Linked DNA regions of Canis lupus familiaris. The protein of the gene in region 2 interacts with the protein of the main gene of each other region in a biochemical or structural test. Links are inferred from orthologs where the notes say so. Each region holds a gene or a part of one and is shown on either strand. Other genes may lie near its edges.

The links. The genes of interacting proteins can lie anywhere in the genome.
Region 1: the proteins of SCN8A (region 2) and FGF14 form a complex in vitro, tested with the Homo sapiens proteins (2 studies listed by BioGRID). The link is inferred for Canis lupus familiaris from reciprocal best matches to the Homo sapiens genes SCN8A and FGF14.

The regions. Positions count from the first base shown.
Region 1 is NC_049243.1:52,137,882-52,142,061, forward strand, and holds the start of FGF14 (fibroblast growth factor 14), read right to left. Parts: upstream 2,809-4,180; 5' UTR 2,008-2,808; coding exon 1,800-2,007; intron 1-1,799. UniProt on the Homo sapiens protein: Probably involved in nervous system development and function.
Region 2 is NC_049248.1:43,303,486-43,307,661, reverse strand, and holds the start of SCN8A (sodium channel protein type 8 subunit alpha), read right to left. Parts: upstream 2,801-4,176; 5' UTR 2,654-2,800; intron 1,935-2,653; exon of another isoform or gene 1,905-1,934; intron 1-1,904. UniProt on the Homo sapiens protein: Pore-forming subunit of a voltage-gated sodium channel complex assuming opened or closed conformations in response to the voltage difference across membranes and through which sodium ions selectively pass along their electrochemical gradient.

The DNA.
Region 1 (4,180 bases), on a different chromosome or scaffold from region 2:
TCAGAGTTGCTAAACGCTGAGGAGTTGAGAGAGAGAAGGGTAAAAGGACAGGAGACGGAGGGGGAGGGGAGCAGGGAGGGAGGAGGCGGAGGAGGGGACGGAGGGGGACGGTGAGCGAGGGGTAGAGCTACAGCACAGCGACGAGAATTGCAGGGCAGAGCCCCGGAGCCCACTGCAGCAGCGTGCCCGCGGGCAGCGGAGACCTCTCCCAGAGCATCCACTGCCGCCCAAACGTCCCGGCTGGGGCCGCTGCCCAGGCGTCCTCCGCCCACAAGCGAGCACCTGCCCTTCCGGACGGTCTAACAACTCGCAGTTTCCCTACTCCTGCAGCAGTGGGGGCCTCACTGGGTGCTCAGCCTCCACACCCACCACCCCCATCCCCGCCTACCTCCCCCCTGCACCTCCCATCCTCCTCCTCCCACTCCCTCCTCCTCCCTGGTCCTCCCCCTCTCTGGAGGGCCCCCTCGCAGCCTGCCGCCCCAGCTACGCTGCGTTTGCTAGGTTCCGAGGCTGGGGGGCAGCAGCCACTTGCTGCCCGGCCGCCGGGGCTCCGGGCGCCAGCGCAGCCCCCGGCAGAGCTCGGGGTGTCAGGGCGGCCGCGGGGAGGCATGATCTACTACACCGCAGTGCCAACGTCAGGAGCCTCCGGCGCCCGGGCGGCCACTGCGGGACGCCCGGGGCCCCGCCCCCGCCCCCCAACGCAGCCCCAGACACAAACACCGGCCCCCGGGCCCTCCCCAGCCTGAACTGACCCGGGGACGCCGCGCACCCCCGCTGCCCGCGCGCGCCTCGCAGACTGGCTGCGCCCAGCCTCCTCGCCGGCGCGCCGCCGCTGCCACGCAGCCCTCCGGCCTGGCCTCCCCCGGTTGCTCGCCCACAACTTCGCGGCCGCCCCCAAACGCCTCAGCTTGGGATACCGGGAAGTGAACCCCCGGGACTCGACGCCCCGAATCACCTGCATTTGCATTTCTTATGTAATGCACTGCAAGTTTCCCGGTTGGAGCTTACGGAATAGGGACGCAAGATCACCGGAGCCTGAAGCTGGGACCCACCGCCCCGCTCGTCCCACCCGTGGGACTCGGGCGCAGGGTCTTGACACTGCCTTTTAAAAGGGGCTTTCAAATTGCATACATGAGAAGGACTGGGCTCGTCTTCTCCGTCTGGGGTTGCCCCGGGCATAAGCCCAGCTCAAGTATTCCCAGTGGCAGGAGGTGTCGGAGGCAGACGGGGGATGAGTTAATACTCGTGCACCGAGAACTAGACGGGGGAGGGAGGCGGGGGCTGACGGAGGAGCGGGGCCGCGAGGGAGAGGGCCTCTTCTACTTTGGTAAAGGTGATGGGGTGGCGAATATTGTGCAAGCTAATCGGAAAGTCTAGAGCAGGTCCTCGGCACCTAGCTACGTCCCTGAACCTGCAGCAGGAGTGAAGAGAGCTCGCGGGTCTTTCTCCTGGCAACTACCGAAGCTTCAGCTGCCTCGGGCAAAACCTTAAGCCACAGCCCTTCAATATTTCACCAAACATAGGCAACCAAATACATTAAAAAAAAAAAAAAAAAGTTTCCTCCTCCCTCCTAGTGATGGATCGTGTCACAGCCAAGAGATGCTGATCATGGTTTTCGGGCTCAGAGACGCCGATCCAGCTGTTACTTGTTTATCCATCAACACCTCTATATGCAACACTGTCCTGGTTCCTTTTCTGTTTCCCCTGCCTTCCTGCATAGCAGAACTGCAGATCTAGCTCAGTGAGCAACAGACAGGTTATTATGAGGAAAAACATAACATGATGCATGTTTTGCTTACCAGTTGGGTTCTTGTTTTTCTTAAGACTCTTGCCACAAAGACACTGCAGCATATGCGTTCCTTTGCTGAAAATGTTCCAAAGAAACCACATTGATTTGGGCGAAAAGCAATCCAGCAGCTTAGACACCCTGAGAAAGAAGAGATCCTTGTGGTTGCATAATAATAATTTGAAATCAGTTCTCCTGAAGAGGGGCACCGGTTTTACCATAGGAAAAACGATAATATTCCGGATCTTCTCCCAGTTTTTTCCCCTCACGTGGTATATTTCTTTGAGACTTCTCAGTGATTGTTTTTTTTCGGCCAGGGTGAATGATTTATCCCCCTCGATCACCACTGGATTATTACCAAAGGGTTGGAAAAAAAATCCTTTTTCAGCATGAAGCCAAACAAAAAAGCAAAGAAATCCCAACAGAGACCAGAACTAATCAGAGAGAACAGTAATGCACAAAAGATCCCCAAAGAGAAAACCATAGCCTTTTACTTGATCGCTATGAGGATGGGTGGGTCTGCAGAAGGCAAAGCAGGATTCATCTCACTGAGAGAAGACTGCCATTGTGTAGCCCCTAGGAGAGAAGAAAAAAAAAGGAAAGAAAGAAAGAAAGAAGAAAAAAAAAAGAAAAAAAAAAAAAAACACCAGCACACACACACACACCAATACCACCTCCGAGATCGAGTCTGACAGCCGAAGACAGAGCCTCCCTTCGCCCTGTGTCGATTTTTTTTTTTTTTATAATCAATCGCCAGTGCTCAGTGGGATCGGATTGAACCTGCAGTTCTCAATCACCACGAAGAAAAGATGCAAATCCAGGTGCCCCCTCCCCTTGTCAGGCTGGTAGTAGGTAGAGAGCGCCACAGATCCCCTTCCTCCTTCCTGTCACTCTCCCAGTTTCCAACAACGGTGAGCATGAGGAAAAGCTCCCCTCCGGATTCCTCGCCCAGCCTCGGATGTGAGTTACAGGCATTAGAGGGAGGAGGAGGAGGAGTTGAAGTTTGCATTGAAAAGACTGGCTTTCCATGACGTAGCCACGTGCTTTCAGACCCGTCACCAGTGAGATGCTTCAACCCGCCCGGGGAGGGCAGTGTCACTGCAGTCTCTCCGCTACTTTCCCCCTGGAAGTCCCTCCTAGCCGGCACCCAGCCCCAGCCCCAGCCCCAGCCCCAGCCCCAGCCCCAGCCCAGCCCCAGCCCCAGCCCTGGACCCTCTCCTTCCTCTGCCCAGAATGAGTCGGCGGGCTGCTGGCTCCTGGAGCCATCTAACAGAGTCTTCTGTTAAAAGTGCATTTTTAAAAGGAAAATTAACCATTCTAATTAGTAGACCTTAGAAAATACATGAGAGGGAAGGGGTTTAAAGAGAAATAATAGTTTATTACCGCCCCTCCCAGCCAAAATGAGCTCCACCTTACTTACATTTGCAAAAACAGCATCGAAAGCCTCCAAAACATTAAAGAAGACTCAAGTTCCTTTAGTTATTATTTGAATTCTACTTAAAGTGCTCTTTGAAAAATATAGACTAGGCATATGACAAATATGTACTTATAGAAACAGCCTATTAAAAAGACAACCACTAAAATCTAGGCGGCAAGCTATATTTTGCTGGAGAGGGTCATATGAAAAAAGTTAGCACCTTTTCTAGGCAGACAACCCATTATCTTTAAATAATTTTTATGAACAGAAAGCACTCTGCTTAGATTACCCTAGTTCATTGCTTGTTTCTGCACCCATTAACTGATCTAACATTGAATTCACCTTCATTCCCTTCTCATCTGTGCTAATATATAACCTTGTCACCTGCCACCACCATCTAACCTAACAAAATGGACAAATTTTCTATTTCACCAGGATAAAACCTAGCTTCCTACTTTCTCAGAAAATCAGAAGATTTAAGGCAGAACTAAAGATTTCATCTTATTTGGGGAAAAAATACAATGTATAAAATAACACAAGCTACCACAAAGAATAATATCACAATTCCTGTGTACTCACGACTCAAACTAACAAATATTGGCATTTCAACATATTTGTGACCTGAGCATTTCAGAAAAGAAGAATTGACCACTCTCACTCTTGTTAAGTAAATGAATTAAAGTTATGGCAATTTATTTCCATTTTATGGAAAACTGACATAAAAGTTTTAGTTTAAAAATGTTTTTAGAAACTCCATTTTAATGCAAAAAATTTAAAACTACAACCTCCACTACGTGGGACAGCAAACTATCTCATAAAGAAAGAGCCATCGATTTCTATTGTTGAGGATTGAGAGATGAAATCGATTTTAAAGAAAATTAACCCCTTGGTTATCAGTTATCAAAAAAATTTTTAATGTAATAACTATCCCACTGCTAGAGTTTTCTAATATCTACTAGTCATTTTGAGATGTCAAA
Region 2 (4,176 bases):
TTAAGTCTGATTCCCCTGAGATTCCTACCAGAATGGTACCGGATGCTAATGTTCTCCAGCCATTTGCATTACACATCAAAAAAAAAAAAAATTGGGGGGTGGGGGAAGGAAAGAAAAAAAAGTCCCCTCACCCCGCATTATCTTCTAATGCACGGGGAGAAAAGAGAGGTACAGAGAGATGGTGAAACAGCGAAAGCCTACCACACCCGAAATCTCTTTTGCAAAGCTAAAACATCCCCCAGCCCTGACACATCGATAGCTCTCTGAAGGCTCTCCAGGTTCAAACTTGAGAAAATAGTTATAAAAAGCACTATTCCCCCCTTTGCTCCCAAAGCCCTCACCCACATTTCCTGCTTCCATTCCTGCTTCTCCGGTGCCCGCCGTGCACTAAAAAGAATTTTCCTCGGGCGGCAGAGCTGGCTCCATGCTAATGATTTCTCCCTCTCCCTGAATTAGCCAGATGCAGTGCCAAGTTTCTCCCCCCTCTCCCCAAACAGATGACATCCTTTAATCCTGAACCCTGAGGCCCAGAATCTTGGAATCTCCCGATATAAAATGCATCCCCCCCCCCCCCCCGCCCGTGTTTCAAAAACTGCAATGTAAGTGAGGAAGAGGGCACGGGCACAGGCACAGGGTGGAGTAGTTGGAAGGAATGCATGGCTCGAAGAATCCTATTTGTCAGACTGCAAAAAATGATTCGCACTCCCCCCACCCCCCAACACCCGACCTCTAAGCTGAGGCCTCCGCAGGGGTCTGAAGGCCCCGGCTAAGCCCCCACCCCCCCTGGAAAGTTAACAGCCAAGTCTCCACCGGTGGTTGCCGCAGGGATGGAGCTGAGCTCTAAGCAAAAATGCAGAGGCTCTGCGGTCCCCCAGGGACCAAGTGGGAACCAGAGAGGAGGGGTCCAGGTCTCTGCAGCTGGGAGTCCTGTAAGCCGAGCGCGAGGAAGCCCGGGGCGCTGCTGGCAGGGGTGGGGGGGGAAGGGAGGGAGGAAGGAGGAGAGCAACGAGCTCCGCATCGGGTGGCGTAGGGATGGGGGTGGGGGAAGGGGGGATTCTGAAAGTGATGTGCTCCCCACTGCAGGAATCCTGGCCTGCCCAGGAAGGTCCCGGGGGCCCCCCGCACCGCCCCAGAGCGCCCAGCCAGGCAGGGACGGGCGCACCCCAGGAAAGGGCAGGGGGAGTCCCGGGCTGCTGCGGCCGGTAACGACCCGGAGCCCGGGGGGGGGGGGGGGGGGGAGGCTGCGGCAGGGCGCGGGGGAGGGGCAGGGCGGCCCCGACCCGACAGCGAGGCCCTCCCCGGGGAGCCCGCGGGGCCCCGACCGGTCCCGGCCTCCGCCTCCGGGGGGCTGCACCGCCGCAGGGGCCCGCGGGAGGCCAGCGCCCCCCGAGCGGCCCGGGCGCGACCTCCCCGCGGCGACCCGCACGCACGGCCGAGGTGCGAGCCTCGCAAACAGCCGTCCGCCAGCGGCGGCCCCGACCCCGGCCCCGACCCCGACCCCGACCCCGGCCCCGACCCCGGCCCCGGCCCCGAGCCCGAGCCCGACCCCGCCGCGCGCCCTGCGGCAGAGCCCCCGGCGCGGGATGGGCGAGGAGCGCGGGGAGGCCGGCCCCGGGCGACTTACGGCGGCGGCGAGGGCGGCGGCGGCGGCGGCGGCGGCCCTAGCGCGGGGCCCGGGAGGCGCGGCCGGACTGCAGAGGCGCCGGGGCTGCGGCGGGCGGGACTGCGGTGGGCGCCATCTTGAGGCTCCCCGCCCGCCCCCCGCGCCCGCCGCCCCGGCACGAGCCCCGCCGCGCGCCCCCGCCGCCGCGCGCCCCCGCCCCGCCCCCGCCCCCGCCCCCGCCCCCGCGCCGACCCCCGCCCGCGCCCGCCCGCGCCCGCGCCCGCGCCCGCGGCCCACCTACCCCTGCAGGACGCGCCCGCTCGCCCGCAGCGCGCCGCGCCGCCCGCCTGCCCGCCTGCCCGCCTGCCCGCCCGCGCTCGCTGGCTCCCGGGCCGGAGTCCCCGCGCCGCCCGGACCGGATCCGGGGCGAGGCAGCAGGGCGCCGGCAGGGGGCGCCGCGCCCGAGCGCCTCGCGAGCGTCCCCGGGCCCGCCTCCCCGACGCCCCCGCGGAGCCGCGTGCAGGGCGGGGGGGGGGGGGCGCACCGGGCTGGGCGGCTCCGGTCGGCGGCGGGACACCCGCCAGCACCGGGACCTGGAGCCCGAAGGTGCCGGCCCGCCTCCCCGACGCCCCCGCGGAGCCGCGTGCAGGGGGGAGGCCGGGGGGGGCGCGGAGTGGGGGGCGCACGGGGCTGGGCGGCCTCGGGTCCGCGGCGGGACACCCGCCAGCACCGGGGAGAGGAGCCCGAAGGTGCCGGCCCGCCTCCCCGACGCCCCCGCGGAGCCGCGTGCAGGGGGGAGGCCGGGGGGGGCGCGGAGTGGGGGGCGCACGGGGCTGGGCGGCTCGGGTCCGCGGCGGGACACCCGCCAGCACCGGGGAGAGGAGCTCGAAAGTGCGGGCCCGCCTCCCCGACGCCCCCGCGGAGCCGCGTGCAGGGGGGAGGCCGGGGGGCGGGCACGGGGGGCGCGCACCGGGCTGAGCAGCCGCGGGACGGCGGGGGAGCTGGAGCCCGAAGGTGCGGCGTGACCCTGGTGGAGGCCGCGAGTCTCACCTGTCTCCGGAGCGGCGGCCGCAAGGGCGACGCCCCGCAGTCCGGCCAGGCTCCGCTGTCGGAGAGCCGACACCCCTAAGCACAGGCAACTCCATCTACAGGATCTTGGGGCGGCTGAAAGACAAACCAAACACACACACACACACACAAACCCAAAACCCAAAACAAAACCAGAAATCCCGCAGCAGTCTATCAGCAGCGGTTGGAGCGTTGGGATTCGGCGCACGGGGCCCCGGTGGCGGGAGGAGGGACACGCCGCATCCCTGACGGCCCCCAGGTGGGCCGCTGCGTAAGGGCACCTCCATCCTTTCGGACCTCGGCAGGCGCGAACGTCTGAACCGCCTAGGAGGAGGCGGACGGTGACAGTGAGAGCGCCCCTCAGTCAGGGTCCCCCTCCTACAGGTGTCTTCCCACCGCAAGTTCGGTGGCCAGGCTGCCGCTCACCGGCCGCGTGGCTTTGGAACCCGATCAGCCTGTCTACACCGCAGGAAAAGACTTGCAGACGCTGTCAGTGAGAGCGAGCGACCGCGGCACCAACCTGGGCGGCTCGTGGGGAGGCTTGGAGAGAGGGCATCTCACCTGGCGCGCGGTGTGCCCATCACGTAGTGGGCCAATGCCTACGTTTTTAAGTATCTTTACCGAGATGTATGTGACATGCGATAAGCCACGCAAGTTTAGAGTGCAGAATTTTGATGTGTGTGTACACGCAGGAAATTATCACCACCATCTACCTACCCGTCACCTCCAACATACCCGTCACCTCCAAAAGGTTCCCCTGCCTCTTTGTAATCCTTCCATGTATCACTCTCCCACTCTCTCTCTCTCCAGGCAACCACTAATCTGCTTTCTATTACTGTACATTAGTTTGCATTTTTCAGAATTTTAAATACATGGAATCATACAGTATGTACCTCTCTTTTTCTTTTTTTTCTTTCTTTTTTATTTTACTTTATTTTATTTTGTTTTATTTTATTTTATTTTACTTTATTTTATTTTATTTTATTTTGTTTTGTTTTGTTTTGTTTTGTTTTATTTTATTTTATTTTATTTATTTTTTTTTGGTATGGCTCCTTCCTCTCACACAACTGTCTTGAGATTATCCTGCTGTTGATGCCACAGTTGCCTATCAATAGCTAATTTTTTTTTTTATTGCTGAGTAGCGTTCATTATAGGAATATACACAGCGTGTGTATCCAGTCACTTGTTGATGACATTTAGGTTATTTCCGGATTTGCCTATTAAAAATAAAGCTGATAGTGTTTGTGTGCAAGTTTTTGCATGAATATGCTTTGTGTGCATATGCTTTAATTTGTCTTGGGTATAAATGTCTAGGAATAGAATGACTAAGTCCAATTATAGGTGTATATTTAACTTATTAAGAAAGGGCCAACCTACTTTCCAAAGTGATTGTGCCATTTTATAGTCCTACTAGCAGCATATGAGAGTTTCAGTTACTCCGCGTCTTTGGCAACATTACCTATGATCTTTTGTCTTTTAGCCATTCTAACTGGTGAGTAGAATGA